Linked DNA regions of Caenorhabditis elegans. The protein of the gene in region 1 purifies or fractionates together with the protein of each later gene. This does not show direct contact. Each region holds a gene or a part of one and is shown in the gene's direction. Other genes may lie near its edges. The genes, in order: gut-2, lsm-7, lsm-3 and lsm-1.

Evidence for each region.
Region 2: the proteins of gut-2 (region 1) and lsm-7 fractionate together in Caenorhabditis elegans (co-fractionation; one large-scale study listed by BioGRID). This does not show direct contact.
Region 3: the proteins of gut-2 (region 1) and lsm-3 fractionate together in Caenorhabditis elegans (co-fractionation; one large-scale study listed by BioGRID). This does not show direct contact.
Region 4: the proteins of gut-2 (region 1) and lsm-1 fractionate together in Caenorhabditis elegans (co-fractionation; one large-scale study listed by BioGRID). This does not show direct contact.

The regions. Positions count from the first base shown.
Region 1 is NC_003283.11:13,495,335-13,499,319, forward strand, and holds gut-2 (U6 snRNA-associated Sm-like protein LSm2), read left to right. Parts: upstream 1-2,406; 5' UTR 2,407-2,441; coding exon 2,442-2,444; intron 2,445-2,631; coding exon 2,632-2,699; intron 2,700-3,116; coding exon 3,117-3,248; intron 3,249-3,298; coding exon 3,299-3,389; 3' UTR 3,390-3,485; downstream 3,486-3,985. Other genes in the region: eea-1 (FYVE-type domain-containing protein), read right to left, coding at 1-278, 607-681, 776-1,717, 1,759-1,932, 1,989-2,033; avr-15 (Ig-like domain-containing protein), read right to left, coding at 3,606-3,895, 3,951-3,985.
Region 2 is NC_003282.8:10,931,967-10,935,284, forward strand, and holds lsm-7 (U6 snRNA-associated Sm-like protein LSm7), read left to right. Parts: upstream 1-1,535; 5' UTR 1,536-1,560; coding exon 1,561-1,566; intron 1,567-1,620; coding exon 1,621-1,714; intron 1,715-1,841; coding exon 1,842-1,950; intron 1,951-2,038; coding exon 2,039-2,144; 3' UTR 2,145-2,223; downstream 2,224-3,318. Other genes in the region: dnc-1 (Dynactin subunit 1), read right to left, coding at 271-354, 513-587, 629-730, 779-1,062, 1,109-1,139; Protein lgg-2, read right to left, coding at 2,798-2,951, 3,003-3,171.
Region 3 is NC_003282.8:13,385,521-13,389,871, forward strand, and holds lsm-3 (U6 snRNA-associated Sm-like protein LSm3), read left to right. Parts: upstream 1-1,948; coding exon 1,949-2,062; intron 2,063-2,118; coding exon 2,119-2,172; intron 2,173-3,374; coding exon 3,375-3,515; 3' UTR 3,516-3,623; downstream 3,624-4,351. Other genes in the region: Y62E10A.20 (Tim44-like domain-containing protein), read right to left, coding at 1-13, 57-432, 488-568; Y62E10A.23 (Mediator complex subunit 9), read left to right, coding at 859-938, 990-1,192, 1,267-1,325; mdt-9 (Guanine nucleotide exchange factor MSS4), read left to right, coding at 1,154-1,192, 1,267-1,536, 1,588-1,722; Y62E10A.13 (Phosphoserine phosphatase), read right to left, coding at 3,843-4,079.
Region 4 is NC_003280.10:11,124,677-11,128,145, forward strand, and holds lsm-1 (U6 snRNA-associated Sm-like protein LSm1), read left to right. Parts: upstream 1-2,273; 5' UTR 2,274-2,276; coding exon 2,277-2,549; intron 2,550-2,600; coding exon 2,601-2,705; 3' UTR 2,706-2,852; downstream 2,853-3,469. Other genes in the region: rps-9 (Small ribosomal subunit protein uS4), read right to left, coding at 785-950, 1,226-1,551, 1,600-1,677; F40F8.1 (UMP-CMP kinase), read left to right, coding at 2,988-2,991.

The DNA.
Region 1 (3,985 bases):
TCTCCGGCTGAGATTTTCTCCATTAAATCTTTCGAGTTTTCTTGAAGTTTGTTGAGTTGGAGAGTAAGATTCTCGACAAGATCAGCGTGTTCTTTCAACTCGTTTTTGTACTTTGTTGCTTTTTTCTCACTTTCTGCCAACTTTTCTTTCAAATCATTGATGGACGAGTCTCGTTCCGAAATTTCTTTGTTCTTTTCTTCCAGAAGACTTCGTTCCTTATCGAGAAGAGATCCCATTGAGGCGAGCTCGTTAGTGAGGTCAAGATTTGCCATTTCAAGCTGAAAAATCATCTAAATTCAGCTGGAGTTTTTCCTATTTTTTCTTTGGGTTTCTTTTAAAGAGTACAATTTTCATTCACTAGAAATGCTACTCAGATATGAAATTTACAATTTTTGAGCAAAAAATACGGTATTCAGTCTCGCCACGATCAAATTTTCGAAAATACTGTAATGCCAAACTCTCGTTACTACTCCCGTTTCAAAAAAAAACACACTTCCGCAGTAGCGAGTTTAAAATTACAGTACTCTTTAAAGGCGCACATCCTTTTCCATTTAACAAAAAAGTCGTGTCGAGACCGGGATATAGAATTTTACATAACTTTCTCACCGTTTTTAGTCTTTCCCCTTGCACTGTTACTTTTTCCTCGAAAACCGCCTCAATTCGTTTCCTCTCCGCTGTATTCTGCAAACATTGTTTATAAAACCGGCAAATTGAAATTGAGTTTCAGGTTACAGCTTTGCCTAATACGATAAAATAAACAAAGAAATTAACTAACCCGCTCGAATTTTGAATTCAGGCTTATCATTTGTTCTTCATTAGATCCATTGATATTAGATAACATTTGAAGAGCATCTTGTGATTCTTGTACTTTATCTTCGAGCCTTTTAACGTTTTGCTTGTTTTCACTTAATTCGAACACGTTCTCTTCGATTCTGGCTTCTAATTGAACAACCCGTTCATTTCGTTGTTTCAATTCTTCGGATTGAGCATCATACGATATTTGCAACTGCTTCACAGTTTCTTCTCCTTCGCCAATTTTCTTTTCCAAGTTCTCATTTACGATGTGCTGTTTTTCACGTTCCATGCTTAAATTACGAATCGAATTTAGGTGTTCCTTGATTTCGATATCTTTCTCCTGAGAAATAGCATCCATTAGTTTTTGAGCATTAACTAGCTCAGTACGCAAAACATTCACATCATCTTCAGAAGGCCTCTGATCGAGCATCTTTTCAAGCCGAGAAACTTCGATTTCGTACCGAACAACATCTGATTTCACAACTTTCAGCTCTCTTTTCAGATCCTCCATTTCAACTTTGCCCGATTCAGATTCATCCGTAATTTCGCGCATTGTGACGCTCATCTGTTTCAATTTGGCCATCAAATCTCCACGTTCTTGTTTAACTTGTTGCAATTCTCGGGACTGCTGGCCGCTCTCTTTCTCAAGTTCCAGAAATTGCCGAGTAACCATTCCTTTGTCGGCTGTGAGAACTTGAATCTGCTGTGCCATGTATGGAATCTCATCTTCTGTGACTTCTGAAGCTATTGCCATTACCGATTTAATATTATCAAGTTCTTCTTTTATCCGTTCAGCAAAACGTTTCTCTTCGTTAACTCTTATTCGAAGCTCTTCAATTTCTTGATCTTTTGTAGCAAAGGCGAGTGGAGCTTGCTGAGGTGGAGTGTAATCGGGATGATTTCTGTTGGCTGATGTCTGAAACTATCAAAAAATTCTATTGAATCAGAGATTAATCAACTTACGTCAGAATGTTCTTTTTCAAAATGAACAGTAAGTTCATCAGGACCACCGAGCTCTACCATACACATTGGGCACAAGAACCCTTCGATCTCCTGATCATTTTCTGATTTTTGTGATTGCGACTGTGAACCTTGACTTGAAATACTTGGTCGACTGTTGTTTAGTCGGCCGTCAATCTAAATAAATTATCAAAATGGAAAAAACTAATTTTTTTACAAAACGGAAAACTTACATCATTCGCGACTTGCGAAACTTGTTCTTTCAACCTTCGAAGCATGTGTTCTGGAAAACAACAGTTCATCGATGCGATAATTCGAATGTAACGAACGGAGATTTAAATGTGATACACGAAATAGATTACAACAAATTGAGATATATCATCAGATCGATATAAACGAAGAGGGAAGGCGAAAAGCATTGATTTGACAACAAAACCGGCGCATTTTCTTCTCTTTCTGTCTCGAAAGATGATTCAAACATAGCGCAAAACAAACTGGCAAGTGGAATTCTCTGTTGGTCACTCAAATAAATAACCGGATTCCCTCTGATTTCTTTTCGTCTCTTCTCTCTCGTCTGGCAACGATGCTCCGTTTTGACGCAGTGCGCCTTGTTTATAATTAGTTTTGAATATTATTTTTTCATTAATTTTCTGAATCTTTGCAATTCTTCGACGATTTAACATAAAATGGTTAGTTTTCCTTTTAATTTTGTGATATAAATTGAAAAAGTACATACTCAAATTATTAAATGTGTTATAAAACTGTTGGTTGTCTCGGATATGAGGCTGTTCCGCTTAAATGTAATTTAAATTAATGGTTTAGGTATGTAGAAAGTCCCGAATTTTTGTTGTAACTCACGAAATATTACTATTTCAGCTGTTCTTCTCATTCTTCAAATCACTCGTAGGAAAGGACGTTGTCGTGGAGCTCAAAAATGATTTGAGGTGCGGTTTGTTAAATCAGTATATACAATTTACAGAAAATCGAGAAAATAACTGGAACCCATGTAAAACTTCAATTTCAAGACATTTCTTAAAAATTGGTTCACAAAAAATGCTTAAAACTTCTTGGGTTCAATATTCTGAATGTCTAGAAAGAATTCGAAACTCCCCGAAAATATGTATTAGCCAGACGGAAATCATTTTCAACGATACACTTCCACATAATGAAAATTCCGAATTTCTCGAAATCTCTTTAAACGCAAGTGCCATTCCTGGGTTTGAATTTAAATTATGAAATTCCATTTAAGATTAGTTCTGCTAATTTTTATAAGTTTTGAAGTTTAAATCTCACAAAATTAATATTTAAAAAATAATTATCTTATTCTAATCTCTCAAATGCAAATTCTAATAATTTTTCAGTATCTGCGGAACTCTGCACTCGGTCGATCAGTATCTCAACATGAAGTTGACCGATATCACCGTCTCCGATCCAGAACGATTTCCACATATGGTCTCTGTCAAAAACTGCTTCATCCGCGGATCCGTCGTCAGGTACAATTAGTTATCATTTTTCATAAATATTTCAAAATGATTCTTTAAAGGTACGTGCAACTCCCATCCGATCAAGTCGACACACAACTCTTGGCTGACTCCTGCCGGAAGGAGCTTCTCGATTCAAAGGCAAAACAGTAAATCCACGTGTTCATTCCTCAAAGTTCATCTCATTTTTTGTCAAGTTTGATATCATCTCATTTAAAAAAATATTTATTTTTATAAAAAATTCGTAACAAACAGGTTTTATTCACAGTTTCAAATGGTGTTTATTGCAGGCGTGTTCATTTTGTTTTCTCCATTGAGGGCACCGGTATGATAGTAGAAAGTATTTGATTGCTAAATAATTCCAGAATATTACGTACTGATGGCCACACCGTATTGTCCATAATGAGTCCAATAGGAGATGTTAAACGTGAGAAATAGTACAGGGAACATGACTCGAGATATAAGATCTGCTCTTTTCGACTTGTCATTCCATTCAGTCTTTGTTTTGATCCATTTCCAGACGCTATTTGTTTGACGGCGATTCATTCGAACTGTCATTACTTCTCGTTCTTGTTCAGCAACTTCTCGTGGTACCCACACATCGTTATGTGAATTTTGAAGGAATGGAAGTTCAGCTTTCTCTCTTTCAGTTCGAGCCCCTGAAAATTAGCAAAAAAAACGTAGGAAAAATTCTGAAAAAAAATCCCAACTGACTCTTATTAGCATCTTGCTTGTTTGCAATATAAGTC
Region 2 (3,318 bases), on another chromosome or scaffold:
TGGTTATCTGAAACAAGCGGTAGTAGAATGATTATGATTAAATGAATGTTGGTTGTACATGTTGTTAGTTATGTAGTTCTTTAAAATAAATTATTTGTCAATTTATCTGTAATGAAATTAGAATATATTCCAGACCGACTTGTGAATTTTCTAACACAAGTAAAAATTACGTGTTTGAGCTATGAGCAAGCAACATGTTCCACCAGCCATACACCAATCATACATTCCCACGCAAAGGTCAAGATTTAATAATTTGAGCATTATACAAACCCTAGGTTTAGAAGCTGATGCACTAGCACGACTCGAAGCGACAGAAGATTGCGATAAGTTGGAGAATTCACGAACCATTCTCGACTGAAACAACGATTAAAATCACATGAAGCAGGACAAATGATAATAATGGGGAAGAACATAATCAAGCTGATAATTTGACAACCGAGGAAAGCAGACATAATCTTGCCAATTCAGAAACAGTAAACGAAAAAGGGTCATTTACTATCAGCATAGATTACCGTTGACTCGGAGTTCTTTTTCGTCATTGGCGGAGCTGGAGATCTCGCCTTTTGCGGAGTTGTAGACCGCTTTTTCTATAAAAGGATTTCCCAAGTGTTTAAATTTCAAAAATTACCTCATTGGGATCTGCCAGCTTCGACATTGAGCGTGGGCCCATTCCTGTTTGACGACCTGTCAATTTTTCGGACGAAGCAGCAGGTGACATTCCAGGGCTTGACTAAATTTATATAAGTGAGACGTTGAAAATATAATTAAAATTTCTTACTCCTGGTGAAGCCTTAGAACCTGCGGATCTGCTCATTACACTAGAATCTTTTCGAATAGCAGAAGCTGCTGGAGCTTTCAGTCCTGATCTCTTTGATGCATCCTCCAACTCAACAGCGCTCGATTTCACGAAAACCCCAAAATTCGGTTCGCATTCGAAATATTGAACATTTTGAACAGTTCCGTTGTTTTTTCCGGTCGCCGTATCAAGAATCACTCCAACCCAATCACCTTCTGCGAATTGCGTTTGTCCGCAAAACACGACTCTTCCATTTCCCGAGCTTGCTGAAGAAAATAAATATGAAACGATAATTCAACTTATTTGGCTTACTTTTTACCCGAGTTCCTATTTCGAACGACATCTGGAAGATTGCGTTCGGTCACCAATTTTCCAAACGAATCAATATCGAACTACCTGGAAAAAATAGTTCAAAATCGATAAACTGTTGCGAAATAAATTGAGGAACAGAGGAAAAAGAAAGGAGCCGAAAATTGCAAACACTCTGGGATCGCTGGCGCGTTTCCGGTGCGCTGTGTGTTCGAAAAGTGCGTCAGCACCGTTGTTGAGCTAATATTTTTCGAATTTATTTTTTCTTTTCTTTATTTTATTTTCTTCTCTATATACGTTTGTAATTTTAAATCATAATTTATCAATTAAAAATACCGTTTAAAAAAATTCTAAATCAATAAGATTTTGTCAGCTTAATTTATTTCATTCGTAATCGATAATTTCATTCAAAATTTCGGAATTATTTCAGACTCACCACAACTCAACACAGAGAAATGTCGGTATGTTTTAAAAATACAATGAATAAGTTATTTATAATTGTTGTATTATTTTAGAAAGACGAAGGAAAACGAAAGAAGGAGTCTGTCGTTGATCTCACCAGATTTCTCGACAAAGAGATTCGCGTCAAGTTCCAAGGAGGACGTGAAGGTTGGTTTTTTTTTTGCACAATGATGTGCACTAGCAATAAGATTCCGTCATTAAACTATTTAAACAATATGAAAGCGTCCAACATACACAAGCTGTACTTCACTCCATAAAAATGTATAAATTTCAGCAAGTGGCGTGCTTCGAGGATTCGATCAGTTGCTCAATATGGTTCTTGATGACTGCCGCGAGTATCTCCGTGATCCACAAAATCCTTCGGTCGTCGGTGATGAGACAAGGTAATTGATAGATTTCCAAAAATCGATTTAAAGCTTGGATTTCAAATTAAATCTAGATTTTCGATTTTATCTTATCTTTTATCTTAAGACAACTGGGTCTTATTGTGGCTCGCGGAACAGCAATTACAGTAGTTAGCCCAGCAGATGGACTCGAGCAAATCGCCAATCCATTCGCAACCCAGGAAGAAGAATAATCGTTGATATCATCATCATCTCTTATTATTATTATATATGTATGTGATCTCCTTGTGAATGAACATTCTCCAGATAAAAACGACGAAAAAGTTGTTATTACATACAAAACATTTGATACATTGAATTTGGAAAAGTAACGATGGAACAAGATGTAATAATTTTGAATTGAATCCGTCTAGGCAGTCAGAAAGTCCATAGCGGTAAATTTCAATGTTCAGGGCAGTAAGGAAAATAGTCCCTATGGGCTTTAGAGACTAGCCAAGTACACAGAATCGTAAACGGTTTAAATTTTGTTGAAAGAGGATCAGTTGTGAAAAGAAGACATGAAGAAATTCAAGAAACGGGCTGGAAAATGCGGAGAAAGAGTTATGAGGGAACACATAAAGACTACACGAAAACGTAAGCGAATTTGGGTTTCTTTTTTTTCGTTTGTAAAACAAATTTCAGCTGGAAGTTTTGAGGTGGGGAATTGCGAGGGGCGAAATTAGCAAAGGCAACTAGAAAAATGGTTGGCGCCTGAGTATGATGGGTTTTCAGGTATTTACATTTAAAAATACAACATTTTACAGTGAGGATTGCATTGGGCAATCAGTGGTGTTGGTGGAAATTTAAAAATTGATTAGAATTGTGATGGAAAACGGCTCTTGATGTGTTATCCAAATGCTGGTTGAGACGTGTAAACCATATACACAAAGCCATCTGGATCACGCTCTTGACTGTACAAATTGGACATGCTCATAGAATTTGACACCATTGAGCGTTCATTGACGAGCAGGAAGAATGCTTGTTGTGGATGAAGTTGGAGGCTGAAAAGCAAACGGATGATTTTGAAAAAACAACTCAGTTGAATAGCTCACCGTCGTCTAACAATTGACATGAGCTCGGCAACGGTTATATGCTCGGGTACTAGGAATTTGCAGCGATCCATAAGTGGTAAACTGCGTTCTCCATCAAATCTTTCGATAATTACCGGAACCTTGTTCGGTTGTTGGCTGCGGATTTCTTCCACATCTTTCTGACGCTCATCTGAAATCGAATAGGTTAAAAAGGTTTTCTTTCGAAAATTTGAAAATAAAAAAGTTGTTCCTCAGTTCTGGATTTCTCTTTTCCACTCGTAAAATTCATATTTCTATTTAAAGATTGGCGTACGTTCAGTTTTGGTTGTTATCTTGA
Region 3 (4,351 bases), on another chromosome or scaffold:
CGGCTGCTGCTCACTGCAATTTCCTGTTCAGTAGTGAATATTTCCTTGACACTTACACTTGAGAACATCCCGACCGGAGATGACAGTCGAATGGAGAAATGAGAGCAAAATGTCGTCTGGAGAGAAACGAAGAGCATTTTCTAATTGCTTCGAAAGCCCTTTTCTGGCTTCTCGCATATTCTCAACAGCATCTTTCACCGCCAAATTCTCCATTTGATCCCATTTTTCATCAGCTAGAAAATGAGAAAGACTGTGAATGCCTTTATTGGCTCCGTGCACCAAGCTCTCAACAGTGAAGCTTTTCTCGTAACATAATGTGTAGAAGGACTGCGCGAAGAGATTTCCAACTCGACGACTCAACTCAAACGTTGGAACTGATACTTGTGGAGTATCAAACACATATGAACGATTGTTGGAAATTAATGGAACAGCCTAAATTTCAGAAATTAATTGTTTGCCAATTGATAACAACGCAAGTTTTACTTACATTGGCGATTTCCGCGGAGGTACTCGCCGTGCAAAGATTTCGCGGTGATATTCTCCTAATGGCGTGTGAGCATTTGAGCATTTTCTAAAATGGGAAAATAGAGAAAATTATGATAATTCTATACAATTTAGTAAAAATTAGAACAAAAATATCGGGGAAATCATCTTAAATCGAGACATAAAGCAGAAAAAAAGGAAAAATACTCTGCAACGTACTCTGCAACAAGTGTGCGGCGTTGTTGCAAATCTTGTGTGCTAGGCTTGCAAGAAGCAAACGCGCTCCATCGAACGCAAGCCAATTTCAACTTAATTCTTTATTGGAATTATTTTCAAATCAATTTTCCAGTATTCGACTATTTTCAGAGTTTGTTCATGAGCAAAGAAGTGATCAAGCCAAGTGCTGAAAGCTATTTGAACAAATTATACGCAGATTTATTCCATCTTGTGAACTCGTAAGTTCGGAATTTGTAGTTATTAAAAAGAAACGAGGTTAATTATTTCAGCGTGGAGAAAGGAAGCGGTTCTGAGCTTACTGTTCGTCTTCGAAACGTCGAGGCCGACATCGCAAGCTTCAAAGACGCTCTGAAATCGATTCCCGACATCGGCGTCGAAGAGTACAAGGAAAGACGGAAAATCGCCGCGCTCTACAAGCAGATTGAGAAGAAAGATGAGCTCCTCGACGAACTCGCAGCCTTCAGCCTTGATGGTGAATTATTTTCAAGAAGATATTAATATGTTTTAAGCAAGAAAAATGATTTTTTAATTGATTAATTATTTCAGCAGCCCTCAAAAAGCCCGACGGAGAGCAGAAGCAGCGTAGTGAAAGTGGAGACAAATGAGAGCACATACATTTGTAAAATCTGTCAAACTGTTGTTATTCTGAAGAATATGACTACTGAATATCTCGACGAAGAACGTGATCTTCCATTGCCACGTCAAAAGAAAGGAATCGATCATACTCAGACAGAGCCGATCCGTGGATTTTTCGGAGTCAAGGATATGTTCGCTTTTGAAAATGTTGGATTTACAAGATCTTCTGAAGGCAAACGAGTGGGTTTCAACTTTTTTTGAAATCTAAAACTTTAAAATCCCAATTTTCAGTATCTGGTGTGTGGTGAATGTGAGCAAGGACCAGTCGGTTTCGTGGATCCAGTCACTGAAATGAACTATGTGAGCCCTGAACGGCTCGATGTGCTTCCTGATGTTGCTGCTGCTGCTGTGGAGGCTGGAAAGTGAATTGAGCTTTCCGGAATGTGTCAAAAATAATTTATTGATTTTTCATTTTTCATTTTTCTGTAATTTGAATTTTTTACGCGAAATTATACTGCTGGAATGAAAAAGTGTGTCCGTGTATTATGCTCGAAAAATTAATTTTCTGATGATTCAAATGTTGATTTCTCAATTCACTATTTTCTTTCTTTTTATTATTTTCAAACTTTTAGTTTTTCAAATTTTTTTCCAGATGGCCACCGAAAAGAAAGAAGTGACACTGTCTGCTACAGTCGAAGAGCCACTCGATTTGCTCCGTCTCAGTTTGGATGAGAGAGTTTATGTCAAAATGAGAAACGACAGAGAGGTTGGAAATTATTTTATTTTGGGATTTTTTTTGTGTTACAAATCTCGATTTTTCAGTTGCGCGGTCGTCTCAGAGCTTTCGATCAACATTTGAACATGGTTTTATCGGAGGTTTGTCGTTGTTGAAAAGTTTTAAAAAATTGTAAAACTGTTTAAAAACTGAAACTTTGTGAAAGTATCTTAGTCAAAGAAAAATGCGAAATCCTAGACAATTTCTAATTATAGGTTCTACCTCTCCTCGAAATGGATTTGAGAAAATTCTTTGAAATTTTAAAAAGAAGAAAATCGAAAAAAATACAGTTTAGCTTAAAAAAACACAACTTTTTCCAAAAAAAAAAACTACAAAAAAGGCCATAATTCTTTGGAGAAAGCTTTAAATTTTCAATTTTAAAGCCGAAAAATAGGAAAAAAAACAATTTTTCCAAAAAAAAACTCCAGATTATCCGTAATCCCCTAGAAAATAGATTGAAACTATATAAATAAAATAGAAAAACAATACAGTTTTAATTCGAAAAAAACCTTGTTTTCCAAGAAAAACTTCAAGAAAAAGGTACCGAAATCTGTGGAAATATTTTTAAGTGACTTCAAATTTTTCCCTGATTCCGAATATCGAAATGAAAAAATTCAAAAAAATGTTCTCTGATTTATTATTTCAGCTTGAAATCGCTTGTACACCCATGAGATTTTTGAAACGCCGAATTTTTGCGCCAGAGACGCCATGTGTCGATTTACGAGATTTGGGTATATTTACGAGATTTTCAATCTTTATCAGATGCTGATTTCGGTTTTTCAACGAGTTTTCATCATTTTCGTCGGTTTTCGCCAAAAAATGTTGTTAGTTTTTTAATAATATAATGTTTAATTGACCTAAAAAAACACATTTTCAAAAAAAAACTTTAGAAAAAACCGACAAAAATGAAGGAAACTCGTTGAAAAAAGGAAATCTACATCCGATAAAGATTGAAAATCTCGTAAATCTACACAAATCTCATAAATCGACACATGGCTGGCGCGAAAATTCGCCGTTTGAAAAATCTCATGGGGACGCAAATGAAAATCGCGATTTTAAGTTGAAATATAAAATCAGGGACTTTTTTTTGAAATTTTCCAATTAGATATTCGGAATCAGGAGAAAATTTGGAGTCGTTTAAATATATTTTTCAGATTTCGGTACGCTTTAAGTTCGCTTTAAGACCGTATTTATTGCGCAAAATATCGCATTTAACTAATTATGAGGTCATTATTTAGAACCTGTTTTCACAAAATTCTGATCGTAGTTCAATAATCATCAAATTAAAAAAAAATATTTTCAGGTTGAAGAGACAATCACCACCCGTGAAGTCGACGAAGACACATTCGAAGAGATCTACAAACAAACAAAACGTGTTGTTCCAATGCTTTTCGTTCGTGGTGATTCTGTCATTCTCGTGTCTCCACCGATTCGTGCATCCTAATTCATCGTCATCATTTTCTCGCAATTTTAAATTTTTCTCATCTTGTGATCTTCTAAATCTAAACACACACATACGTTATTTTTGTTTATGAATATTTTTCGGAACTCTATATCATGTGGTAGAAGATTTATGGCACAACAAGACAAAAGTTTGCTGGTACATGAAGGGAAAAATTCACAGTGAGAGAAAAAAAAAATAGAAATACGCTAGTAGGTGATTAGAAAATGATGCTCAAAATGCTCAAAACCGCACAGTAAAGCCAACTGAGAACGTGTGGAAAATATATGAAAAAAAAAGAAAAACGATATGTACAGATACATGAATTATCTACTCGTCGTCAATATCAGACTCATCATGATCGAGATCTTTCCGAAGAACATCGAAATCGGTGACGTACCATTTGGCACGAGCCTTTACACCTTCTCTAATGACATTTCCACCGAATCCAATGAATGCATCAGCTGGGGGTGAAGCTTCAACATCGGTTGCTCCGTCACCAACCATCACAACTGTTTTGTAGTTGTACATCTTTTTCAGAAGAGCTATCACAGCCGGTTTGCCAGTCTGAAATTATTTTGATTAAAATTTGGAAGAAAAACTTATAAATAGAATTTTTTTTGATTTTTTGGCTTCAAAAATCGAAAAAATCCTAGTATTTTTTTTTAAATTTCAAAATTTGATTTATTGGAATTTTTTTCGATTTTTAAAGCAAAAATAGTTTTTGGCTTCAAAAATCGAAAAAAATGAAATTTTATTTTATTTAAATTTTGAAATTTAACAAAAAAAGAGTAGTATTTGAAATTTTTTGGTGAATTTTTTGGCCTTTTTAGGCACTT
Region 4 (3,469 bases), on another chromosome or scaffold:
ATAAAAAAATGTTTGTTTGTTTTTTCTGGACCTTTTTTTTCCTTTTTTTTGGATGAAAAAATTCGCAAAAAATTTTCCCGTGGTGGAGAGTTGAACTCATCCCCTCCCCCCTCCCACCCCCCGGCCCAAGCAGTTAAACCGCTCCTAAACCGCTCCAAAAACCATTGCTGGCCACTTTTCTCCGTCATCCCGAGTCACGTTTTGTCCTTCTTCAGTACTTTCAAAGAGCATTTCCACAATCGGATCTCTTTTCATTTGTTCAAAATAAAATTTATGCCAAAGATCAATAGGCATAGCGGAAAATGCACTTGAAGCGCGCAGAGCTGCAGAAGAAAGAACCGGTTTCTGGCTATATTTCCCACGTGGCCAACGTGGAACGGATTGTTCATTTCTGTAAGCGCAGGAGCTCAATTCGTTAATAAGTTCCATGTATTGTGTTTGCTTGATCATCAGAATAACTTAATTTTGTGCCATTTTTTGTACAAAATCAATAGTTTTGGTCAAAAATGTATTGTTAAATTTTTGATGTGCGGAAAATCTACTTTTTTAAAAAAAATTTGCTGCACACCCCCGGCTTCCATGATTTTTATACTATTTCGATCAAGCCAGCGAAAGTTCTCCAGAAAAACCGCACTGGATTTTTTAAATTCAAATTTGCTCGGACGTGAACAACGGAATCGCACAATTGCTTGTAAAACTATTTCTTCCAAAAGGCTTTTTAAAAAATAAAACGAATCACTGGAAGACGTTATGTCCAACAATTTTATTTGTAACCAAAACAAATTTATTCCTCGTCGTCGCCTCCGGCTCCATCTCCCTTTCTCAAGGTGCGTCGCTTGACGCGTCCTGGACGGCCACCTCCGTATGGAGATTGAAGAGAGAAGTCGATGTGCTTCTGGGAGTCCAAACGAACGATGAAGGATGGGACATCGACAACTTGTCTGCGGACACTGAAAGAGAAGAATTTGAAGTCGATACTAATCTTGTAATTTGTCATGTCATCTTTCAGTGAAATAAATTTTTTAATGAAATATTCCGGACAATGACTACTGGATCAGTCTTCAAAATAGCGCAGGAATACCTAACTGGTTTAAATCGAAAAACATTTGTAAAAAATTAACTGCCAGAACAATCAATTTTCCGAAAGATGAATTTAATGTTAAAATGATAGTTCTAAAAACTGTTTCATTTTTAAATATATTTTTATACAGAAACAAAAACTAACCGGATGTGGTGCTGCTTGATCAAGATACGGGCGTGGTGGATAGACTTGGCAAGTCCGAGCTTGAAGACCTGGGTTTGGAGCCTGCGCTCAAGGAAGTCCTCGACCTTAAGACCGAGAACGTAATCGAGCTTCATCTTGGTCTCGTCGAGGACACCGATCTTGACAAGACGACGGAGAAGGGCATTTCCTTCGAAAAGACGCTTTGGATCCTTGTCTTCAAGAGTAAGAAGCTCACGAGCCGCCTTACGGACCTTGGCGAGGGTGTACTTGACACGCCAGACCTCACGCTTGTTCTTGAGTCCGAAAGTTCCGATGAGCTTGAGCTCCTGTAAAACAAAATTTTAAAATATAAATTTTACTTTGACATTTCAAACCTGGTCAAGGCGCTCCTTCTCGAACGGACGGCGTGGCGACTTTGTCACTTTAGATTGCACAGTCTTCAGACGTGCCATAGTTGAACCCTGAAAAAAATAAATAGAAAATTGAAGTTTGAGGCAGCAACAACGAAAACAGAGGGAAGCAAATTACAAATTAACGATAAAAATAACAATAATGTAATGAAAATTCATTTTTTTAATTAATTTTCTGACAATTTCATTCAAAAATTCAGCGATTTTCCCAAAAAATAATAGAAAAAAAGAAAAATTGTCAGGTTCGGCCTAAAAGAGTGGGGACGACTACGGTCGGTGGTCGTTGCGGGACCCACCCGCGTAAATCGGTGTGCCTTTACCAGAGAAAAAACACCCTCTCATGCATGCACAGTCTCTCGTTTCTTTTCCATTCGGTTCTTTTTAATATTTTCCTGCTAATTTTAACGAGTCTATAGCAGTTTTGAGCTTATATAAATCTTAAACTCATATAATTTCAATAAAAATTAGTAAAAATAACGTTTACCAACGAAAAACACTATCAGGAACTGGCATTCAATGTTAAATATTCATGATTTAAGCCTTTGCCCGTGTTTTTAACCGAAAATTCCACTTATTGTTTGAAATCTCTTCGAATTCAATGTTTTATTCGTATTTTAATCTAATTTTTTCGTTTTCAGATCATGGACTTGCCCGATCCCTATTTACCCGGAGCAATAAGCTTGTTCGAGCAGCTTGACAAAAAATTATTAGTTGTTCTCCGCGACGGACGGAAATTGATTGGCTTCTTGAGATCGATAGATCAATTTGCCAATCTTATATTGGAAGATGTCGTAGAACGCACATTTGTTGAGAAATACTTCTGTGAAACGGGTCAAGGATTCATGCTTATTCGCGGAGAGAATGTTGAGCTTGCTGGAGAAATCGATGATACCATTGAGACTGGACTTACGCAGGTTTTTAAATGATTTTTCTATAATCTATCTCTTAATAATTTATCCTTTCAGGTGTCTCCCGAAGAATTTCGTCGGCTGGAGGATGAGTATATTGCCAAAAATCCGCCAAAGTTCCTAAAACGACAAGCAGAGAAAACAGAAGAACACGATGCATGAATCTGTATTCTGAAAAAAGAAAACACGTCGCACGGGTTGATTCTACATCTCGATTTTCAATTTGAAATTTCCCTTTCTTGTGCTATGTTTGTTTGAAATTTTATGTAATTCCTTGATATTCTGACGAGAAGTAAACTAATTTGATTCAATTTCAAAAATGTTTTGATTTCTTTTTTTTACTTGAAGGTGTTATGATCTGAATATATATCGGAGGATTGCTTTCAACTTCCAATTCCCATCGAAGCCGTATTTAGAAGATCCAAGGACTCGGGTTGCAACTGTATGCGTAAGTTTATTTGTTTTTGGGCAACGCATCAAAATCTTACAGCTTCTGTTCATCTCAAATAAGTTGCTTGGCGCTCTAATCTGCTCGCAAATGCATGCCTAATGCAGCCAAATCTCCACAGAAAACGAGGAGAAATCGATAGAGCGGTGGTGCTTGCTTCTCTTTCCTCTCGCTTAACCAAAAAAGCTTGCATTTTCGTGCTAAAACGTGTCAGTTATGCATATTTTATACTTACCGTATATTCTCTATTAGTGCTACATCTCCAGTAGTACTGCAGTCTCTAATAGTGCTGCATTCAAAAAGGGTCCGAAAAATAGTGCTGCAGTCTCTATTAGTGCTGCACCACATTTTCTATTGAAAGAGTCACTTGATAGTTTCGATATTTTTGGGTATTTTTTTGTATATTTTTGATGAATTTTTGATAATTTACGAGAGTAATTGAATTATGGGGTCTTTTTGTTACAAAAGTTCGCAATTT